Linked DNA regions of Oryzias latipes. The protein of the gene in region 1 purifies or fractionates together with the protein of each later gene. This does not show direct contact. Links are inferred from orthologs where the notes say so. Each region holds a gene or a part of one and is shown in the gene's direction. Other genes may lie near its edges. The genes, in order: polr3k and protein POLR1D.

Region 1 (10,744 bases):
ATTAAAACATAATACTATATCAGTAAAATAGACACAACACTGTTTCAGGAATTTTCATAGCAAAATTTCATCAAGTATCAAAAGTTAAAAACATGTGCAAAATTATGTTACATTAGGAAAGATTTTTGAATCAATTTATGAATTTTTGGAGCAAATGAAGTAATATCATTAAACATCGATCAATTTAACCATTTTCAATTAGTGATTAATCATTTGTTTTACTTTTTCATATATATTTTTTTTGTATTTTTATTTATTTTATAATAAAGTAATGCTGTAAGGGAAAATCTTAACACTTTAATAGCAAAGGATTTTTTTTACCCATTGTCAATGCATCTATTGATATTTACAGATTCTAAATTGTTGTTTGTGGAGCAATTTTGAATGTTCTTTGTATCAAAAAACCCAAATACAAAAGGTGGACATTTTTTAATGTCCGGTGAGGCAAAAGGTATTTGTCTGTCACAGATTCCACAAGTTCTTTCTTTCAAAAACATGAGTTTTTTCATGTTCACCACAGATACACTTCAACTCTGACAGAGTGTAAAAATAAAACCCAGGAATCACATTAAATGATTTTAAATAAAATATTTGGATAATAGTTCAAAAAGTGAGACTTTTGGTACAAACAAGCAAGAATTCTTTCCTTCAGACCTGTTAATTTTTCTTTGAGAAGCTTTTCTTTTCTCTACTTGTTACCTGTAATAATGTCACATATTTAACCCTTGTGCTATCTTAGATGACCCCACCCTTACATTGACGTGTTCTCCCTACCATGACAAAGGTGGATAAAGGTGGAAAGATTTCATGTAATCCATGGACACCAGAGAAGATCACAAATCTTGAAGAAAAAAGGTTCAGAGCACTGTCTAGTGGGTCTAGATGACCCAACTCCCAACGTTAAAGTGCCCAGGATCGCACAAGGGTTACGAAAAGGATGAATGGGGCCGTGTATGGTGAGATATTGGGAAAAATAACATGTTTCCTTATTGACATCATAGAGGGATTAAACGTGTCTGGATTTTCAACTCGACAATGATCCCAGACACATCACCTGGGCAACAAAGGAGTGGCTACGTAAAAAAAAGGAAACCTTTCAAGGTTCTGGAGTAACCTAGTCCATTTCCGGATCTCAATCTAATAGATAATCTGGAGAGGGAATTGAAAGTTTGTGTTTCCCAGTGACACCCTCAAAATATCACAGCTCTTAGAAGGTCTGTACAGAAGAATGGGCCAAAATAGCAGCTATGCTGTGTCTAAACCGGATAAAGGCCTACAGGAGACCTTTGACCTCTGTCTCTGAGATCAAGGTAACTTTTCTATTAAATTTTATTTATATAGCCCAGTATTACAACAATAGTTGTGCCAAAGAGCTTCATACAAGAACATAAAATCAGTCATAAAATGCTAAACTAAACTAAACAGTCTAATCTAAACTGGGCATTCCTGCCCTTAGACCCTTTTGTTTTGACCAAATACTCATATACAAACAAATGTTTAAAAAATGTTTAAAAATCATACAGTGTGATTTCCTGAAATCTTCACTCTTATATTCTAGTCTGTCTCTAACAGTTGAAGTGTATCTGTGATGAAATTATCTCGTCTTTAGGTGGAAAACTTGCAGAATCTGTGATCCAAAATTAAGAATAAAAATCAGAAGTAAAGTGATTGATAATTACTTAGAGGTCAAAACATACATATTTTGAAAGAAATTAATAAGTATGTGGGGCACAGAGAATATGGTTGGTAAAAAAAAAAAAAACTTCTTAGTTTCTATTATTTTGGTTGGGTAAAATTACATTTTTAAAATGTTTTGAAATAAATCCATGTTAGGATACATTTGGCACACTAATATGTTAACAAAGCTGTCTTATAATCGTGAATATAGTTTTGTTTTGCCTTACCTGTTCTGCTGCACCTGATTCATCGTCCTCATAGAGCATTAGATAGAAGCCGGACAACAGAACACTGTTCCTTTCCTCCAACTAATTATTCAAAATATTCAAATAGTTCAGCTACGTTTACAATTACCCACTGTGAACATTTACACTGAATCCTCGAGGGACAAAATGCAAACCCAGATAAATGATATGCTATTTATTGACATATTTCATATCTATCCATTTAAAACAAAACATTTAAAAAAAAAAAAGGTTTTACATTTGAGCCTTTTAAAAGAAGAAACAGTTCCAAACAAGTAATTACAAGTAGATTTTACTTTAAGAGATGTTCAAAACAAGTATTATATATCTTAAAGTTATGGTTTATTTTAAAAACAAGTTTAATTATGTTGGGAAAACTTCTTTCTTCTGAATTGGCAAATGGATGAGTCACTTCTTCCTGAGTTTCTTCATAAACATCACTTCATCTCTGTTTCTAATGCCGTAACTGAAAACAAATAAGCATTTGAATGCAGGAGTCAGAGGACATTTTAATATTATGTCAGTTGCACACAGTATAAACCAGACTTCATTGATACCCACTCTTTGAGCCTAATTGAGTCATCTTCAAGCTTTTCCCCCTGAAATACCAGATAATACGTCCTCCAAACATATCTCCTGGAGAAGAAAGGAGGAAAAACAAAGTGAAGATTTGGACACAACTGCTCTGTTATCGTGTTTACCAAAATTCTTACCAGCTGACATGTTTCACTCCACCTTCTCGTTGCTGTTTAAGCTCCATGAATCTGCGAATGGCCTTCTTAAGATCAAGAACTGTGGCGTTTTGCACCACCACTATAGCTAAATATGAAAAAAAAAAAATGTTACTACTGTGTATAGTAAAAAAAATGTGCAAAACATATTTAAAATCATTTGAAAGCTAAGAAAAATCCACATGCAAATATACATGGTCTGTCCAAAATTAAAAGTTGGATTTAAATATGCAAATTTGGACGCGCCTCCCATTGGATAAATATTGCATGGGCGACTGTCTGCTTGGGCGATGGGGTGATTGTCTGTCAACGGGTAACAGGTTTTATAATCCCAACTGATGCAATGAGTTGATTCCCTCTTTTTAAACCACCAAGTCAATAAACACATCCTGTGGGAGAGATGTTAGTTTGTTGGTGACGGGTCAAATCACTGGCGGTAAATTAAACATCAAAAGAAACTGCAGAGAGGGCGAACGGGTTAAGAACTGTCCAACACATTATGAAAAACTGGAGGGATAATGCGGGACACAAGAGCTGTGCACCCTTAAAAAAAAACCCACTGACCATTAAGGCCAACCAGAAAAAAAACGTTTGTCAGGGAACATTTAGATTGGACTCCAGAGCGATAGAAGAAGGTTATGAGGTCTGATGAGTCAGGCAGTGAACACAGACATAGTCATACAAACACAATATAGACACATACTAATTATACAAATCAGCTGGGAGACTTTGGAACTTACGCATGATTTCCCCATCTGCCTTAACAACCTTCACAGTCATTGCTTGCCCATACTCCAATGCAATCTGGGAGTTTACTTCTTCCAAAGTCACCTGAACACAAAAATATTGCAGATTGTGGATTCTCATCCTTCTAACACAGTAGAGGGTAAAAAAAAAAAAAATCAGTCAAATGGACTTGGTTAATCCTTTATAACTGCAGACATTTCATGTTTTCTCAAAGACAAATTTGCAAATACGAAAGATAAACCAGTTGTAAATAACAGATTTCTTTCTGGGCTTAATAATAAATGAGATTAAAAAAAAACAAATGTGATTATTGTATAATAGTCCAATGTTACAAGAGCAATACTGACAATACTAATGTTATGGATTATAACCTGTGTTTTTGTTATTTTTATTATGCATGTTTGGTACTTAATTCTAGATTAGAACATTTATTTCATTGCTATTCGTATATAATTCTTAAATCGTATAAACAGTTTCAAGAAGAAAAAGGAGAGAAAACATAAATTAGAGCTATAAGATTGTTTTGAAATTGGATTCGATTTGGCTTTTCAAGAATATATATGCAGCTATTTTCTGCTATGCAAATATGCCGTCAGACAAACCGGAAGAAGGACGCGTTTCAACTTTAGTGTTAAATTTACAATTTATGAAAATTTTCTTTAAACATCTGCCTGGTGTGCGGAGTGTGGTGTTTTTCTATGACCTGGATCGGCAGATCACACAGTAAAGGGTCCTGCACAAGTCGAGCAAGTCCCTCTTCGAAGATATCAAGGATCTCTGAATGTGGAAGAGACTCCTCATCTTCCTCCTCGGCATCTGGAGCTGTCTCATCAGCCAGCTTCTCCTCTTTCACCTCACTGTGACTGTGACTGTCCTGCAAACGATTCTCTCCTTCGTCGGTTTCCTGCTCCATCATCTATTATTGGTTAAAAATAAATACATTCAGTAAAAATGAAACCGCTTTCTCTTTTTTGACGCGTTCAATTAAGTACAAAAGATTCTTAAAATAATAATAATAGGATACTGTTTACAAAAATGTATCCCAAGACTGGTGTGAATTTTAATGCTGTGTGTCGCAGACCTTATACCGGTGGTATCATCAAAACATGATAAATAGTTCCGCTTATCAAAAGTAAGAACTTTTTTTCATGCGGCGGATGGTGGGGTTTTAAAATAATTATATTATTTATAATGTTATACATATATTTATACATTTATATACATTCTTTAACAATAACAATTTCATTTTTAACAAACGTTTTTTTTTTTTTTGTTTCCTACCGAGCTGTAAAACCGGAGCAACTGCTTCCGCTTTGCTTCTCCTTGCTAATGAATTTCGTAGTCGCTACTATCTTTCCCGAGATAGTTTTTCTTTAAATAATCTGGTAATATGCTTCTTTTTTGTCCTACTTGTGGAAACGTTTTAATCGTAGAAGAAGGACAGAAATGCTTGAGATTCGCTTGTAACACTTGTCCCTATGTGCACAACGTCACGAGAAAGGTACGCTCCTTTTATCACTGTCTGACTCTGACTCGAGAAACAAACACGACATTTCTTAGGGTGGTTTTTAATCTCAAACTTTTCAATATTTGTAGGTAAACTACCGAAAATATCCCAAGCTGAAAGAGGTGGATGATGTGCTGGGTGGAGCTGCAGCGTGGGAGAACGTGGATTCTACTGCAGGTAACAAACAAGTTTGTTACCAAGAATTAAAAAAAAACATGGATAGACTAGAGAATAATATAAAACAAAGGCCAAGAAAAACTAATTTGACTACTAAGACAAATATGTTCTCCATAGGAATAAATTAAAGTTTATTTGAAACAGTCCATTTGCGTGTTTAAAGGGTGTTAATAGTCACCCTTAGCTGCAAGTACACTTGAAGTTTATTTTATTAAGTGTACTTGGATGCAAGTATTGCACATATACTGCTGACCATGTAACGTGTAGGGAGTACATTAACTTAACACTTATTCTGACTAAATTGTGACATTTTATGTTTACTATATATAGACTGAACTTCAAGTACACTGCCTCACTCTAAGTATACTTGTAGTACACTTAAATGGACTACTTTTTGCTAGAGGCAGTGTTGCTGTGTGATGCTATGGCGAGTACCAACCTGAATGTGGGCCACAGAAAGAAGTTCAATCCGAGAACTAACTAAAATTCTGAACATGTGTGTACATATATGCATGTTTGCTTGTGTTTTTTCACAGAAACGTGTCCCAAATGCGAGCATCCTCGAGCCTACTTCATGCAGATCCAGACCAGATCAGCCGATGAACCAATGACGACTTTCTACAAATGCTGTAATGCTCAGTGTGGAAACAGATGGAGAGATTGAGCATTTTATTTCATTCACTCATTATTTCTAGTTTAAATGGCAATCAAAGCACATGTAAAGAATGTTTTGGACCCATTATTATTTATAAATAAAATTTGCTTTTCAGAATCAATCAACGGACAAATTCTTTATTTCAGAGCTTTTATTGATAAAATAATACCTGTGTACATCAGTCAATTCAATTGTCTTAGATGTTTGTATCTTGTTGCAGACATTGAGAGCAATGCATACCACTGGTTCCCACACGTTTATTTTCTATGCAATCCTTGAGCTCAAAATGCAATTTCTAGAGCAACTCAATCATCCTTAAGGTAAGGAAGAGAAAAAAAAATACAAATCTAGGAGCCAGCCAAAGAGAATCACTTATTTGGATGTGTAGCTCATGCAGACAAATTCTGCACCTCCAAAGCGTTGGTGAAAAATGAAATCGGACATGCTGTGACGGAACAGTGCTTTTACACTGTTAGTGGTTTATCCAATAAAAACTGTATTTTTGATATTTTTTTAGCTTAATCTGAAAAGACTGCTCAGTCAAGGCTATCGCTTCATCTAACATGCATTTATTTATGTCATAGATGACAAATGTCAAGATTAGGTGATCAATGCAATGATGGCTGCATCCCTTTCCAGCTTAAATACGGTTTACTACTTTCAAATCAGTGAGGAATCTCTACAATCTCAGTATCACAGAGATGGCATGTAGTGTTTCCACATAACCATGTCCTCGGCACACAAAGACTACTAAAATCTCTGATCAAATATGTTTTGATTAACTCCAGTTATATATTACCTCTATGCTTGAAATTATTCCACTTCTTTCAGGGAATTGATTAAAACAGGACAACCCTTTCTTCAGGAATAAAAAGGCTAAAAACATAACAAAGTGCAAATGTTGACATTACAATGAAAGCAGATCACAGACACGAGGAACTGGTGAGTAACAGTAAAACAATAAGTCAGCTCCTGATTGGAGCAAAGAAAAATCAAGTTTCTAGCAGATGTGTCAGTTTAAATTGACAGTTTTCCCACATTTGACAACTACAAATGTCAAAAACAAAATTACGCACAAATATTCATAATCCGGAAGAACACGTCTGAGCTTGAACGGATTAAACGAAAAATTAGACAACTTCACATATGAGGACAGCTTTCCTCTACACCAGGCTGCCAAGCTTTTAAAGTCCTACTATTCACATGCATCCTTAGCAGTAACAGGGATCTGTACAATTCAACTTCATGTTAATAATTTAAAATATGAAGAAATATATACAGCAAATTAGCTAATGAGAAAACTGATTACAATACAAGAGGGTTTCACAACACTATGCGAAAAAAAAAAAAAAAGTCGGCCTGTTAATATCAGCCAGGGGAGCTGCAAGTTTGTTTCTGTTTGCATGTACATGGCTCTGTGGCATCCAGCTGTTGGTGGTTAGCATATACGCTTGTATGTGTAGATGTAGCCCTTACAGTAAGGACAGGTGTGCGTCACGTCCTTCAGGTCATCAATCAGGCAGGGAATCAGGCAGCAGCCCAGGTCACACCTGCGAATGCGGAACGGGACGGTTATGCATATTTAGACTCAGACCTGTGGACGCCAGGGGCTGGCAGGAACAGAAAATGAACTCTGAGCACATTAAGCTTCCAAGTAAACAACAAAGTCCCTCAACAAGAATGTGAATTTAAACTAAAATAAGATGACATTTTCTATATTCAAAAATCTGTTCAAATGTCTAGGACAAAGAATTAATGCAAAATATACTTTTAAAAGGCTAAATGACACACTTTAGGTAGCTAAGAGCCATGAGACACATTCATTAAAACGTGGTTTAAAGAGACACCGACTTCCTGCTTTCAGATTTTGACTGCAACAATAAAAATGTAAGACAAAACATCTTTAAAAAAAATCTGATTTATTTTTATCCACTTCTTGAACTTTACTTCCCTGGCCTTATTGCAAGCCAAGGCTCCACAATTTACAAAAACCTTACATATGGACATTTCTAACTTGAAATGTATTTAAAAAACATTTTGATGTTAAATTTTACTTGTAATCATACAATGTATACAGAATTCTTTAAATTCTTTTTTTTTTACTAACATGGATTTTAATTGCAATCTATGTTCATTTCCTTTATATTGATGAACTGTCTGGTTCACATACTTTTTTTTTTTTTACTAATAATCAAGCTTAGAAGTTTCCTTTATCATTCAATAATCCTTTAATTTGATCCAAAAATTGTCTCATAAAATACTACATGTATTACATGGCACTACATGTGCTATATGTAAATAAAATCAAGAACAAAACCAGAATATTTACACTATAATTTGTATTTAACACTACTTTATCATTGTGAATAGGCCTTAAATGTGACGCTTTCAACTGAATAAAAATAATTAGCACTTGAATTAATGATAAAGCTGTTTAAACTTTGATGCTCCTTTGGTTTTCCTCATCAGAGGAAAAGTTCCGTTTCGTCACCTTTTTGACCAATTTGTATCTGCCGTTTACAACGATTACTCGTTCCAAACAAGTGCAGTTTACAAGCTCCACAGTACACTCACCCTACAAAGAAGCAGAATAGGCAGAAGAGTGTGTTCATGAGGCCAACGTCGTGGGAAATGCGGGTGACGATTGCTTGTTGGCAGTGTGGACACACAGTCTGCACCGGCGAGGTCTGGAACATTTCCCCCTGCAGTACCGTCACGGTGGTGGCTGCACCTGGTGGACCCAGGACTGTTGTTGTTTGTCCTCCCATGTGCACAAAGTGGCCGGGGCCTGGACCCATCTGACCTGGTATTGGGCTAGCGAAGTGCCCGGGAGGCAGTGGGTAGGGGCCACCTGTAAAGAATGAATCCAGAGGTGTAATAAAAACTGAAACTGTGTCAACGGAACAACTTTATAGAGACCACACAAAAACACAACTTTGATTTAAGTCCTGCAATAAACTTGACTACAAGGATGGAGCACAATGAACAGATATAAAATCAGTAAAAGTGAATAAAAAAGATTGAATCAAATGAGTAAAAACAGACGATAAGAATATCAAATAACATCAATTAAGAATTTTTCTAAATTTTAACTCAAAGCCAGAATCAAAAGGTAGTTCTTGAGCCTTCCTTTAAAAACATAAACAGTCTCTGTGGATCTCTGGGTGGCTTTTCTACAGTTCCATAATGACTGAATGAGGCTTCCTCATATGTTTTAACTTAAAACCTTTGGAATAACTAACAGACCTGTACCTGAGGAGCTCAGGCTCGGCAAGGGCTCAAACTTTAAAATCAGATCAGATAAATATGACGGCCCAATGCCAAGCTGAAAAATCATATTTCATGAGATTTAGCAATAGAAGTACAACTATAAATATTTCATTTGAAATTGATGGTAGAACAATCAAGGGTTCTGTCATTGGCTGCAAACATGAAACATTTGAAGCAGTGGTGGAGAGGAGCTTTTATCCATTATGGACAGCCCAGACCATCCTCTCCACCCTGTTCTGGACAAACAGCGGAGCTCCTTCTTTAAGAGGCGCAGACAGCTCCGCTCCAACACTGTCCGATACTGGAAATCCTTCCTACCCAATACAATACGCTTTACAATAACTCACAGGGTAACAGATAACTTTTGCACATTTTTGCCTGCACTGTTTGTGAATATTTTTTTAATTATACCACCTTTTTTTTTTTTTTTTACAATTATTTTGTTTTTATATGATTCAATTTTCTTTTATGATTACAATGCTGCTACTGTAACGCACAAATTTCCCACTTGTGGGATCAATAAAGTACTTCTGATTCTGATAACAGGAATTAGGTCAAGTAAATGGCAACAATTCAAAACATCCACATTTTCATTGGTAAAATGTGTCACAAAAAGGGAGAACTTTAGGCCCTGAGGGAAGCGAGGCGGTATCCTAAAGAGTTAATGAAAAGCTTAAAGTAATAAAAGATTACAAGCTTGAGCTGAAAGTGTGACGTAAAAGTTTTAAGCATTTCGCTAAGAGTTTTTAAACAGAAAAAGTCTCAGTCTTGATGCTCAAATTTCACTTTAGAAATTCTTTATAGAATCTAAATATAATTACAAATATCAAGAATTAGGTACCTTGTGTTGGTGGAGGCATGGGCATAGGCATGGGCATAGGACCCTCCCCTGGGACATGTGGTGGAAGGAAACCAGGCTGCGTGGCTTCATAAGGTGGAGGGCCATAGTCTGGAGGAAGGGGCTGTCCTTGTATGGGAGCATTTCTTACAGACTCTGAAAGATGGGACAAAAAGTTTTTTGTTTTTTTTAAAGCATTACAGACTGCAAAAACAACATATCTGACATTATGAATGAATACTACAAATAAATGCTACATCTATGACATAAATATGCAGATCACTAATTTGGGAAACAGAAAATCAACCTTCAATTGAAATGATTTCACAACAGGAAATAAATGTAAGGCTAATTTCTTTATAATACCTTTCAATAATATTGAACAAAATAATGTGTCTTTAGCTTATTACCTGGCTGTCCATTCTTCTCCACAAGTAGGGGGGCACTGGGACCTCCAGGGTACGGAGGAGGTGGATCACTGGACATAGTGGCCAGAACTCAGAACTGGCTTGTTGTTAATAAAACAGGAACACGATCAGAACACTATGGATGTTTTCTATATGTAAAAAGAAAAAAAAAAGAAAAAAAATACAACTTTTCAAACAAATGATTGAGCTAAATTCTGTCAAACTGACATAAGGCAAAAATCTTGATGTTCCTACCAGAGAAGCTTGTGTAAACAAAAGATATTGACAGCTTAGATAAGATCTAACATTTTCCTGTTACCATGTAGAATTGCAAGACTTTAATAACAATGTAAGAAAAGTATTGATACGAGGCTTACAATTGTTTTTATTGCAGTATATTACAGAATATTACTTTGTAAAACACACAAAATATGCTGAAAAGCAGAGTGTAGTGCTTAAAATTAGGAGAATTTTAGGTAAAACTATAGTG
Region 2 (11,747 bases), on another chromosome or scaffold:
CACAAAATGAATTAACTGGTTTGCAGATGTTTATGGCATCAGATGTAAAGCTGCAGAAACTCTTTAAAGCAAGTACAGTCGTTAAAGACACACTGATTAAATTAATTTTTGGTGTTTTTGCTGGATTTTTCTGACTGCAAGACTTATATAAAAGAAATAAGACTAAAATTGCATTTCTGAGTGTTTCTTTATTCAAATTGTTATAAATCAGGAGCAGAAGCAAAAAGGCAGTTGGAAAAAGCTTGTACAGGTGTCATGCAGAGGCTACTACAGCACGCCACTCCATCCTAGTGCATCCGCTAATAGACGACTAGAGAACGTGTAAACAGATGGATGATGGGAAGTAGGGGCAGGCTTAGTCCGCACCAACGGTCCCGTCCACAACTCAGAGGCAAATTTTTGATGAACTACTGCCACTCTGCAGAAATTAGGTCCTAGAAAACGACACAGGTTTTGATTTTGGCTAATAACAGCATAATCATAATTACACGACCACCAGGAATGCTTTTGAAATAGATCAAAATAGGATTGGCAAGGGAGATTAAGCCCTAGCATGTATGGTGTTAACTTATTTACAGATCTGTTCTCTGTGCGCATACTTTTTTTTTTTTTTTTACCTGTGTTTGAGATGTGCCTCCAGGTCACAGCGGGGCATGCTGAGCGAGCAGACAGGACTCAAAGGGCAGGAAACGGAGAGCTTGTCTAGCAGCTTGTGCACCAGGATGCTGGATCTGCGGCACGCCTGCAGCTGCAGCCGCGTCCTGTCAAGAGGGCAGAAGTCCCTCTCCTGGAGGAAGCTGCGCAGGCAGCGGGCGCAGAAGGTGTGCCCGCACGGCGTGTCCAGAGGCTGCACCAGCGGTTGCAGGCAGATGTGGCACACCAGGTCGTCGTCCACCTCCAGCCGGTAGTTGTAGAGATGGTTTTCCCAGGTTCGGTGGATCTGACCACACTCTGGACAAAGAGTCTCGGGAGTTGGCTCCGTTGGCCGTGTGACGTCCACCTCGCAGCCTGGGCTGCCCATTTTTCTCCTTCAGCACAGCTCAGATTTTGGCACAAATGACTCCAGTTGTGTGGAGGGCAAGGGTTACGCACTTCTCTATCCCATAAGCTTCACGGGCTGAACAGGTTGCAGAGGACAAAGCCCCCCAGTGGCTGATAACGCATCTCCCTGGAGGTCAGAGGGCACAGTGCAATAGTTTAACAGATGTTTCAGAAAAATCAAAACAAGTGTCTTCTGTGGTCGTGCACGCAATCATTTGGCAAATGCTTCATGCACGTGTGCCCATGGGTTTGCATGACACCGATGGCAGCAATGTGTGTTTATAGTACTGTGGCTGTGCCATGTGGATGTCAGTGACTGTGCTGAGATTATGTATTGCTGCTCCTGTCTGCTAATCTGACAGTATAATCTCTCTTTTACTCTCGCCTACTCCAATCTTCCAATTCCGCAGAGAGGGAATTATCTGGGATTGATGTAGGGAGAGGATACAGATGAGAGAAAGTGGGATAGGAGAAGCCACAGACAGGAAAGAAGAGGGAGAAGAAAAAAGTAGAATAAGATGCAAGGGAGAAAGATTTGGACCTGATGCAGAAAAAAAACACAAAGTAGAGCAGGAATAAAGAAAGAGAAGATACATTTGAAAAAAAATGAGAGAGATAAAATCTGGGACAGGAATGTAATTTAAATAGTCCAAAAAATACTGTGAAACCTTTAAACCCTTGATATTTTTGGCCACGTGTGGAGGATGCTGCCCTCCTCTGCAACAGAAACGGAACATGCCTAAAGCAAAATTGTGAAAAATAGCACTCCAGCAAGCAGAGCGTGTCTTCAGAGTTAATGTGGTGTAATGTGTTTGCTTATTGTTTCCACAGAGTTTCACATCCAACGCCTTTCAGATCTTCATCAGCATCATTCGCCCCTCTGGAACTGATGCTGTTAGCGGACAGCAGAGGGCGTGCCTCTCCCCACAGCGGGCCAGCCAAGCCACAGTGACTACCTGCCTCTGTTCCAGCAAGGGTCTGCTCCTGTCTCCATGACGACCTGGATCCTGTTCTGTTCAGTGTGGTTTGACATTCACAGTGTAGCCAGAAAAGGATGCAGAGGAGGTGCACAACAGATGCACTTCTCCCAGCAGGACTCTGTGCTCCTCCACAGCAGAAGCTGAAAGCTTGTCAGACAATGATATATGAGTCCAATTTGTTGATTTTTTCCCCCCTTTTTTGTGTTTTTCTTTTTTTCAATCTCATCTGTGTAGTTATCCAGTTCTGATGCAACCTGTCTCCTCTGTCTCCTTAGCTACCAGGCCGGTAGTCACAGATTTCTGCCTCCTTCAAGTGCGTGCTCCTGTCTGTGTCTGACTGGCTGCTTCTGTCCCTATCCTGCAGCTGGACATGAATTTAACATGAGGACACAAGGCTTCTCTGTCTCTGTAACAAAGCTGTGACATCACCACATCACACACAGACTTGTAGACATGCACAAGCAAGAGCAAACAGAAACACACAAGGGCTTTTTTTAGGCAGAAGCCCCTGAAATCTCCTCATCAATAAATAACGCCTTCCGGTTTTAACAGTAAATGCATTTTTGAGTCAGGAAGCAGTTGAAAAACAATCTATTTTAGACAAAAGCCACGCTGGGCTGATTTTTTTTAATAAGTGAAGGCTTGCAGATGCGTGTGACACGTTCTTAATCCTTCTTGTCTGAGTTCAAAGCTGTACTTGCTCATCTTTTTATATTAGGATACCGGTCCTGCACTTGCTCTCATTTTCCCACAGATTACTATCTAATCTTGGGAGAACTAGGCAGCGGCATGCAGGAGTTTCCTTTTTAGAAGATCAAAAGACTCTATGGCACTCATTTAAAAACTCAGGTGTATCAGGCACCCAGGTATCAGATATTTTACAAAAACCTCATTTGGATGTCTTTCATCCTACAAATACTAAACACACAAAGACAGCACGAGAACTGATGTGAACATTATTATATATTTATTTTTTGCATGCATTAGTAATAATACAAAAACTGAGCCTGCTGTAAATTACATTTTCAATTATTATTGTCAATTTTCTGCATTTACCTTAATAACGCCCCATCTGCAAAGCAATTACTAAAATATATATATATATATATTTTTGATACCATCAATGTTTAGATAAGCCCTCCCCCCATCTCTCAAACCCCCCGTTCACTGTCTGAGTCCAACCCCCCCTAGGAGCGAAAAGGGAGGACAGAAGAGGCGACAATGGTAATAACAGAAAAAGCCAGCATCACACACACTGACGCCGCTTACAGTGAAAGGATGCAGATGTGATGTTACCTCTTCAGGCTGCTCCTCTGCGCCGCGCCCGGGCCTCGAAGAGGGGCGGGGGTGGCGGGACAATTAGCAGCTGCGGGACCTCAGTCACGCAGTCGCCGCAACGGACGGCCCGTTCCGCAAACCTGCACGAAAACGCCCCCGTCACTTTGGTGCCTGGTCCCGCCCACTGCTGTCCGTCAAAGAGACTGGGCGGAGTTTGCCGCTGTCAATCCACAAAAAAAAGAAAAAAAAAGTAGAGGTGGCTTCAATGTCGCCTGCCCAAAAACGTCCATTCAGCGGGAATTAAAATCTTTTAATATGTTTATGATTCCGATATGTTAGAGGTAATAACATAAACGGATAAAGCTTCGGGATCATACAGGGCATGGAATATTTTTTGTTTTTCAATGTGACAATTACAACTATTATTTTAGTAACTAAATTACTTTAGAATAAATGTTTGGGTTCTAAAAACGGCGTGAATTTTACAAAAATGCATTATTTATTTAAAAAAAAATGTTATGGTTTAACAATATAAAACAATGAAATGATCAGGCATCTTTTGGTCATAAAATCAGGTCCTCGAAAGAAGGACCTCGCAGAGGTAAATAAATCCCCTAACATGAGCCTGTAGAAATTTCCTGAAATAATTCTGCGTTTTAAAGTCTTTAGGTGGTCAGGCATAATGGCTGAAGATAATGAATTGGAAAAGTAAGTATTTTTTATTTTTAGATTATCATCGATTAACTTGTTTACGTTTGCTCGGTTAAACTAATACATCGGGGGAATGGTGTCTGGTACCACCAGATTAGGCTAGCATGTTTGCATAATGCATTTCTGTAGCTATGGGGTTATTTTGGTTAGGGGACGGAGTGTATCTTGTGTAGCAGTCAACACACTCTGCCTTTTGGCAATCAACAGCTGTTCTCACTACGTGCTATAAGATCGGCTGAATCAGAGAGAGCCCCCTGCGAGACTAATGCCTCAGCTGGTCGGGTTAAACGGGGACACCGCTGATGTCCCAATTACTTATGATTCACTTCCTCCGCGTCTCCTATTTTCTTCCTCGCTCGCACATAATTATATTAGTCTCCCCTTGAGCTTTTATGTCATCTTGGTCTTCTGTTGTTATCCGCATTTTTCTACGTCTTTTCCTCCAGACGGGCTATAGAGGAACTCCTCAAGGAGACAGACAGAGCCAGGGTGAGAGCTGAGACCATGGGCCCTGCAGGATGGTGAGTTATGGTTCTGAAATGTCATCCCTGACAGCCTCCACATAAAACGCCATGTAAAATCTTACTTCATAGGTTTAGCTGTTTTTTTTGGAGGCTTCTATTATTGTTGTATTTGTGTTTAACTAGTTTTCTATTATAGATAATTCGTCAGGTTCCCAAAGACACTTGTCTCTCTTGGCATCTAAAAGCACACACATATAGACTAAATTTATTATTAATATTTATTTATTGATTGTGTGTCTGTAGTGATTCTATGTCTAAAAAAAACGGTATAACCCTGTGAACTTTCCTGGAATTGAAAATATGCTTTCAGACATTTTTATTTTCTGGGCTGACGCTGATTTATCAAAACTATTTTTTTCTTCTTGATTTATTTCAGATGTGAGAGGTCAAAGCTAATGTTCTGAAGCTGTCATTCACTCGTCATTTAATGCAGTTACAAAAGTCACTTGAAAGGAGGGGACAAAAGGCAAATAAAATTTTTTTTTAAAAGACTGTCCATAATTATAATGTTACCTAACTTAAACTTTTCACATTTTTTTGTCTATCCCAAACATTTACATGACAACGTTCTCTGAAGTCTGCAAGGCTTGTCTTTTGTGTAACAATTACAGTTTGAGTTTTTTCACACTGTGTCGCATTTACAATCATAGATTTATCTTGGTAACCAATATTTGTTGACTGATCTGTATTAATTAGATCGACAAATGTTTGCAAGTATATTGTTGCACAATGATTTCTTTTGCATGAAATTATTTATTGACCTATTCACTTTTTGTGTATTTGATCTGTTTGATGGTTAATGGGTTTCTCTTTGGATCTCCCTTCATTGAGTCTCTTGAAATGATAAGATTTATTTGTGTATGTTTAACAGATCTTAAACAAATTTAGAAGGACTTTATTCTTTTTTGTGGGTTTCTAATGAAGAGGTTTATGTTATTTTGTTTTTTAGGTCTGGTCCAAAAAAACTACAGAATATTAAAAAAAAGTTGGTTTATGTAATTTCCAGAAAACTTGCACCTCTTATCACACTATTTAGTAGTAAATTAAAGAATGACCCAGTATTTTTAAGTGTTAGAAAACATGGAAAAACAGCACAATACCATAATGTTTTATTTTCATGTGGGAACCTAACAAAAAGTGAAATTATACAAAAAGCAGTAAGGTGAGCATCTAACTCCCAACTTAAAGCAAAGTCATGCCCTTAATAGTTGTCCTATAATTTAAATTGTACTCTGGAGACAATTTGTCCTTTAATGGAAACGACTATACATCTGTCAGATATACTGATCAGATAACTGTCGCTTTTCACATTAGACTTTAGATTAAAAAAAAAACCTTAATTCTGAATTTTTAAGTGGTTGTGTTGTCTTCTTCTCTGTCAGGTTGAAATGTCCCCTGCAGAGCACCAACAAACGCTTTCTCCTCAACACTCTGCGCTCTACCGGCCTGCAGCGGCGAAACGATGAGCAGAGAACCGCAGACTCCAAAACAAGAGACCGCCTGACCCACAAGTCCCGTGACAGACGGTGTGACCGCAGCAGAACACCTCCGACAGACCACAGGAGTAATGGACGCCACAAAGACCATAAACATCACACCCGTTCAAACCGAGATAAGGAACTGGACAAAGATAAGAACAAATCTGACAGACACGGGGACAACAGCAGAGACAGGAAGCATGCCGATGGACCAAACGGAGACAGAAAAAGAAGTTCTTCATGAATGAACTTGCTGTGTTTTAAAGGTAGCCTTGATGCTCTACTGAAAAATTAATTGGCTGGAGGAGTATGGCTGACTTGAAATAGTTCTGTAGAGCCCTCTCACCCTCACAGAGACCCAGACAGACTAGAAGGACCTCTGCTGATCACAACGAATTGTACAGTGACAGAATATACAATTTGTATTACAGCTTTTGAATGAATGAATGAAGAGAGTAAAAGGAAATAAATATTTTGTGTTTTCAGGCATGAATAATTGATCCTCTTACAGTTCTAACATGAATCTTTATGCACCAGAACGAAACATCAAATATACTTTTTAGGATATAATCTAAAAATCATATCAAAGCTAATATTTGTTTTATCATGTTCCACTTTGTAAAGGTGGCTGTAGCTCCATTATAATGTCATTAACCATTCTTTTGTGGTTATCCACCACTGGTGTTTATATAAGCCATGCTGCTGTCGCCAAAGAGTAAACAAATTTTATATCCTGTCTAATGTTTTGAAATGTGCACAGCAGCTATCAGAACCGCTCTTGTTTTTCAAAGGAGAAAAGTGGTTTCCTTACACTCCCAGTCCCCGTGAAGACACAGTACGACTGTTATAGCTATGAATAAAAAGAAAAGATGAGAATTCCATCTTCCTGGACATCTACTTTAGCCGAAGGTGATGTTGTAACTTCACTATAGCTCTTGTTTTTGAGTCATTTTCAGGTTTTATTGTTCTCAAAGCTTTTTTTTTTTAACGCCTCGATTACAACCAGTTAGACCATTTCTCCCTCTGCTCACAAAAAGGTCTATAAGTTCTCTAAAAACATTTCATAGTCATGCTTCATAAATCACGCAGTCCATCTCCACTGTAGTAGAGTCTAGTCCTGGTTAACTGTTTCCTTCCTCTTTGCAACAATGATCAAATACCATTAAGCCATATCAGGCGACTCTTTAGCGCAGAATTGGTTTGCTTGAACTTTATTGCATTGCTGAGTGCTGCATTAGGATACCATGAAAAGCGCCATCATTGCTTTTGAGGATCCAAAAAGCAAATAGTTGATAATGTTCAGCTGTAGCTAAGCTCAGGGCCTTCCTACGCTTGGATTAGGAGAAATTGTATACGTCTCAAAGTGTTGCGTAAAGTTCCAGGTGCGCTCTGGGGGATGCGCGCTCCACGTCGTTTAATTGAGTTCAGTCACGCTCTCCAACTTAATTGACACACTAGGAGAGCTGTTGTTTAATGGGGCGGACACTCACGACCGCCAGAGGCTAATGGCCAGCAAACATGGAGAGTACAGCGGGAGAGGCTGTTCGTTGTTGCTAAGGGCCCTTCGCGCGGTGACCGCCCCAAGGCGCGCAAATTTGAGTTAAATGATGCATTTCTGAAAGTGTAATGGATAGGTTTTCAGACGACAGACCCCCAAAAATAATAAAATAAAATAAATGCAGTGGAAGACATCGAGTTTCCAAGACGACTGTTTCTCCGTTCTCTTATCTGAGAGGTCAAGCAATGTTTGCGCTCATATGCATCGATTTATTAGGCGCAGCGCGCAAACAGGAGACACATCCAAATGAAATATCGATTGAAAACTATGAATGAAGAGCCATGTAAAGTGGTGCGCATGATCATTTTGTCTTTTCATGACGAAGCAGAGTTTAAACTGTACATTTGAGTCGAGACTCACGCATGTGGGAGCCATGCGGCTAAACGCAGCGTTATTTACAGAGTGGCATTGATTTATGCGCCGAAAGTCGTCCTGTTAAATTTACCGAGGGACGAAAAGCCCACAAGCTGGAGAATATCCTAGTAACTCGGCGCCTTGGTCTGCCGTCCTGAGCAAATAATGAAACCAATGGCCTGGGCGCCGCAGAGTCACATGGTGACAGAGCGACACACCTGCAGGCAGCAGACGGGGCCTCGCAGTTGCGCCACAAGCAGGTAGAGCCGAAGGTCCACACGGACGCGCAGGTGCGCTGAATGCCCCGCAGCTTCGGGTGTCCTCCAGCCATGAACCGGGAAGATCATTACTACCCCTCTCAGGTGTTCAAAGACCCCTGCGCTTACCAGAGGTCGCAGTGTGATGAGTACAGCCCACCGCCGTGCCTCTACATGAGCAGGCAGGCCCATTCCGTCTACACTCCACCAACACTGGGAGCCTTGGAGCAGGCCAGCTTACCTGACTCGGCACCGATTTACGGTTTACCCAGCATGCGGGAGGATCCAGGTGTGCCTCAGCTCCACCACCAGCAGGAACTGCAGCAGCCACCGCTCCAAGCTCTGGGATATGGAGACACGGTGGAGCAGAGCGCGTATCAGCTGCCTTTCCCCTGGATGAAAACCACCAAATCTCACTCACACACCTGGAAGGGACAGTGGGCAGGTAAAGACGTCCTTAAAAGTCAGAGAAGAGGGGATTTTATGCAATCTGGTAAATAAAACCCTTAAAATGTGGTTTTCAAGTCAGTTCTTTAATTTTTTGTGTGTTATCCTCACATTTGGAGCCCATCAATGTAATTCTGGGCTTTTGTCAGCCTGTCAAAGGCCCGGAAGACACTTTCTGAGGTCTTTTATTAGGAAAATGTGTTGTTTTTTTCATGTGAAAATGAAGTTTGACCTTATTCCAAGTCAAGCAAAGCAAGGCGCAATTATTCTCTCACATCAACAAGTCAGGGACATTTGATTGATTTGTAAAAAGGACATTTTTAGCAGCTCGATTAGTAAAACTGTAATAATTATACATTCCAAAAACAGAAATTTGTGCATTAATTCATTATTTTGGGTATATCTTATTGGAAGATTTTGAATGATCAATAGGCATTTGATTGCGTCATCTGTGATTAATCAGAACTTTTTGGTTCATTTTCTAAGATAAATTCTGGAAATGATGAGCAATCAAAAGCAATGAGACATAAATAGGATGATTCCTCAACACAAGATGCCTGCAAAGTTATATTTCAAAATAAAAATTAATTGTAAATTATGCTTATTTCTTTAGTAAATATTACAAATAACATCCAAATTTATATTAATTTTCTTTTAGATATTGAATGCATGAAAAATAAACGTTTTTGTGACGCACAGAAAAATGAGCCGTGATTGAGTCCACTTTGTAGGGCACGTGCGTTCAGTTTTTGTGAGTGGATTGATTCTGAACAGGAAAGACATAAAGAATGCTTTATGACTGATAGGATTATATATGTGTCAGATTTATTGTGTGTATTTATATATATATGGACCAGCGCCATTCTGTCCCGTAATAGAGATAAAGAGACTCTTCTTTTGATCTGGAAATCAGAAAAAACTAACTAAATTTTGAAATTTCCAAAAATGTAATTATATAGAAAATAAACATGTTTTCATTATTTGCATTGGTATAAATGAATAAAGAAAAAAATATTCAAAAGTACATTTCATTAAACGATAGTGGGTTATTTTCTAACATGACTAAAAAAGAGATGCATTATGGGATATGTCCATTTACTGTCCATACACTCTAAAAACACGTGTTTTTTTTTCATGTGTTGGGTTATATTTTTCTGTTACTTTTTGGGACAAAGCCTTACTACTTTTTTTGGTTTTCATTTCAGCCCTATTTATTTTTTTCTTTTTCAAAGTAACCAAGAAAAAAGTTAGTCCTCTTTCAACCTTGGAGTTTGGTTAAAACAACTCAACTTGGTTAAAACTGTAAACAGTTACACTGTAAAACATGGCTATTTTACCGTGTAAGGATTTTTTGAAGTTTAATAGTTTGTGCTTTGCATAAAACCTCAAAAGAAATGCTGTAAGGTTATTTTATTTCACTGAGATTACATGTGTGTCCCAAACAATTTGGAAACATTTGTTGTTGTTTTAATAAGCCTATTGTTGTGGTTTAAGGGCCATACGTGATGGCGGAAACCGAGGAGAACAAGCGCACCAGGACTGCGTACACGCGCGCACAGCTGCTGGAGCTCGAGAAGGAGTTTCTGTTCAACCGCTACATCTCCAGGCCGCGGCGCGTCGAGCTGGCGCTGACCCTGAGCCTCACCGAGCGTCACATCAAGATCTGGTTTCAGAACCGGCGCATGAAGTGGAAGAAGGAGGAGGACCGGAGGAGGGCGAGGGGAGGCGATCCGGATCAAGACTCCTCCATCACCTCTGGAGACCAGGGAGAGACTGCAGGTGGAGTGTCCTCCACGAACGGATCTCACACTTCCACACCCCCAGTTTCCCCGCTTCATGGTTGCACTTTCTCGGCGTCTGTGACAAGAGAACCAGCATAGACCTTTTCTGAATAGTGAAACCTTCAGAGAACCACAAACCTCTCGAGTTACAACCTAGTGCATATGCCTTCGATTTTTTGCTGGACCAAAGTTCCTGTTGGAGTCTGTCATTTCTGGACTAAAGCAACAGCCACCTCTCCATCAAGTTCGCATGTTTTAATTTACTTGGGACACCAGGGGGCATCTGGAGACAGCAAACCGCCCTTTACGCGCAGCAGGGTTTACTCTGCAAACAAAGCGTCACAGTTTTCCACGCCACGACAAAATATCTTTATATTTTTTTTTAAATATAAGCGAGCTATTTCTCAGATGTCTGTCATTCCTCCTGTTGATTCCATGTAAGCGGGACTGGAGTTGGTTTATATTTTAACATTGAAGATGTTTCACCTCTACTCCAAAAGGGTTTTAGAATTAAGACGTCTCTTGGAGAAAAGTCAAGTATTTCTCAAATGTGAACCAGTTTTGAATGGTTTATTGCTGTATATTAGTTTTAACATAACACAAGTTATATATTTCAAATAAAGAATGCAACACAGCAAAGTTTGACAGCAGTGTTGGGGTTTGGTACAGAGGACACGCGCGCGCACGTCTCTTTCAGTTCACAACTTGAATGTTCTGTCAGAAAGCAGCAGGGTGTGGATGCGCAGACGGCAGATCTTCTTCACCTCCTCGATGCCGCGCGTTCTCTCTACAATGCGCTCGTTCTGGCAGCGCTCGGACAGCTGCTGCAGGATGGCCGCCTTCTCGTTCATCCGCGCGCAAATCACGAAAGGGAACCCGAAGCGTTTCTTGTATTCCTCGTTCAGCCGCGCCATGCGCGCGGCTTCCAAGGAGCTCAGCGCGTCCATGCCAGCCTCAGCCTGCTCCTCTAGAGATTCTCGGGTCAAGGTGCCGCTTTTGAGATCCCTTCCAGCAAGATCCGGGTGGCACCTGAGGATCCCCTCTTTACCTGGACACATTATCACTCATTGACTTCTGTTTGTTTTATTTTAAAACCCACGATAATCTGTGCAACTGTGCGCAAAATTTGGTCTGAGAGTCACATGAAAAAATATATATGTAATATATATATGCACAAAGCATTTTTTCGTCTTACCTGATTCTGGGAGAGCATCAATGAACTCATTAATGGCAGCTTCAAGCGCCTTGACGCTCACAAAGGGACGACAGGACCACACAGCAGCAGGAATCAGGGGACATTTTTCCACCACGTTCCCAAAAACATCAACAAAATCTTCA

The links.
Region 2: the proteins of polr3k (region 1) and protein POLR1D purify together in Homo sapiens (affinity purification with mass spectrometry; 3 studies listed by BioGRID and IntAct, with this or other methods). This does not show direct contact. The link is inferred for Oryzias latipes from reciprocal best matches to the Homo sapiens genes POLR3K and POLR1D.

The regions. Positions count from the first base shown.
Region 1 is NC_019866.2:8,135,350-8,146,093, forward strand, and holds polr3k (DNA-directed RNA polymerase III subunit RPC10), read left to right. Parts: upstream 1-4,684; 5' UTR 4,685-4,790; coding exon 4,791-4,901; intron 4,902-4,996; coding exon 4,997-5,084; intron 5,085-5,620; coding exon 5,621-5,748; 3' UTR 5,749-5,860; downstream 5,861-10,744. Other genes in the region: snrnp25 (U11/U12 small nuclear ribonucleoprotein 25 kDa protein), read right to left, coding at 2,331-2,388, 2,484-2,558, 2,636-2,741, 3,394-3,484, 4,104-4,316; cdip1 (cell death-inducing p53-target protein 1), read right to left, coding at 7,178-7,289, 8,314-8,590, 9,851-10,003, 10,258-10,333. UniProt on the Homo sapiens protein: Core component of RNA polymerase III (Pol III) which synthesizes small non-coding RNAs using the four ribonucleoside triphosphates as substrates. Can mediate Pol I proofreading of the nascent RNA transcript.
Region 2 is NC_019878.2:17,470,350-17,482,096, reverse strand, and holds protein POLR1D, read left to right. Parts: upstream 1-3,842; 5' UTR 3,843-3,900; exon of another isoform or gene 3,901-3,961; 5' UTR 3,962-3,981; coding exon 3,982-4,007; intron 4,008-4,456; coding exon 4,457-4,531; intron 4,532-5,916; coding exon 5,917-6,256; 3' UTR 6,257-6,746; downstream 6,747-11,747. Other genes in the region: lnx2 (ligand of Numb protein X 2), read right to left, coding at 618-1,021; pdx1 (pancreas/duodenum homeobox protein 1), read left to right, coding at 8,224-8,626, 10,123-10,508; urad (putative 2-oxo-4-hydroxy-4-carboxy-5-ureidoimidazoline decarboxylase), read right to left, coding at 11,108-11,457, 11,605-11,747.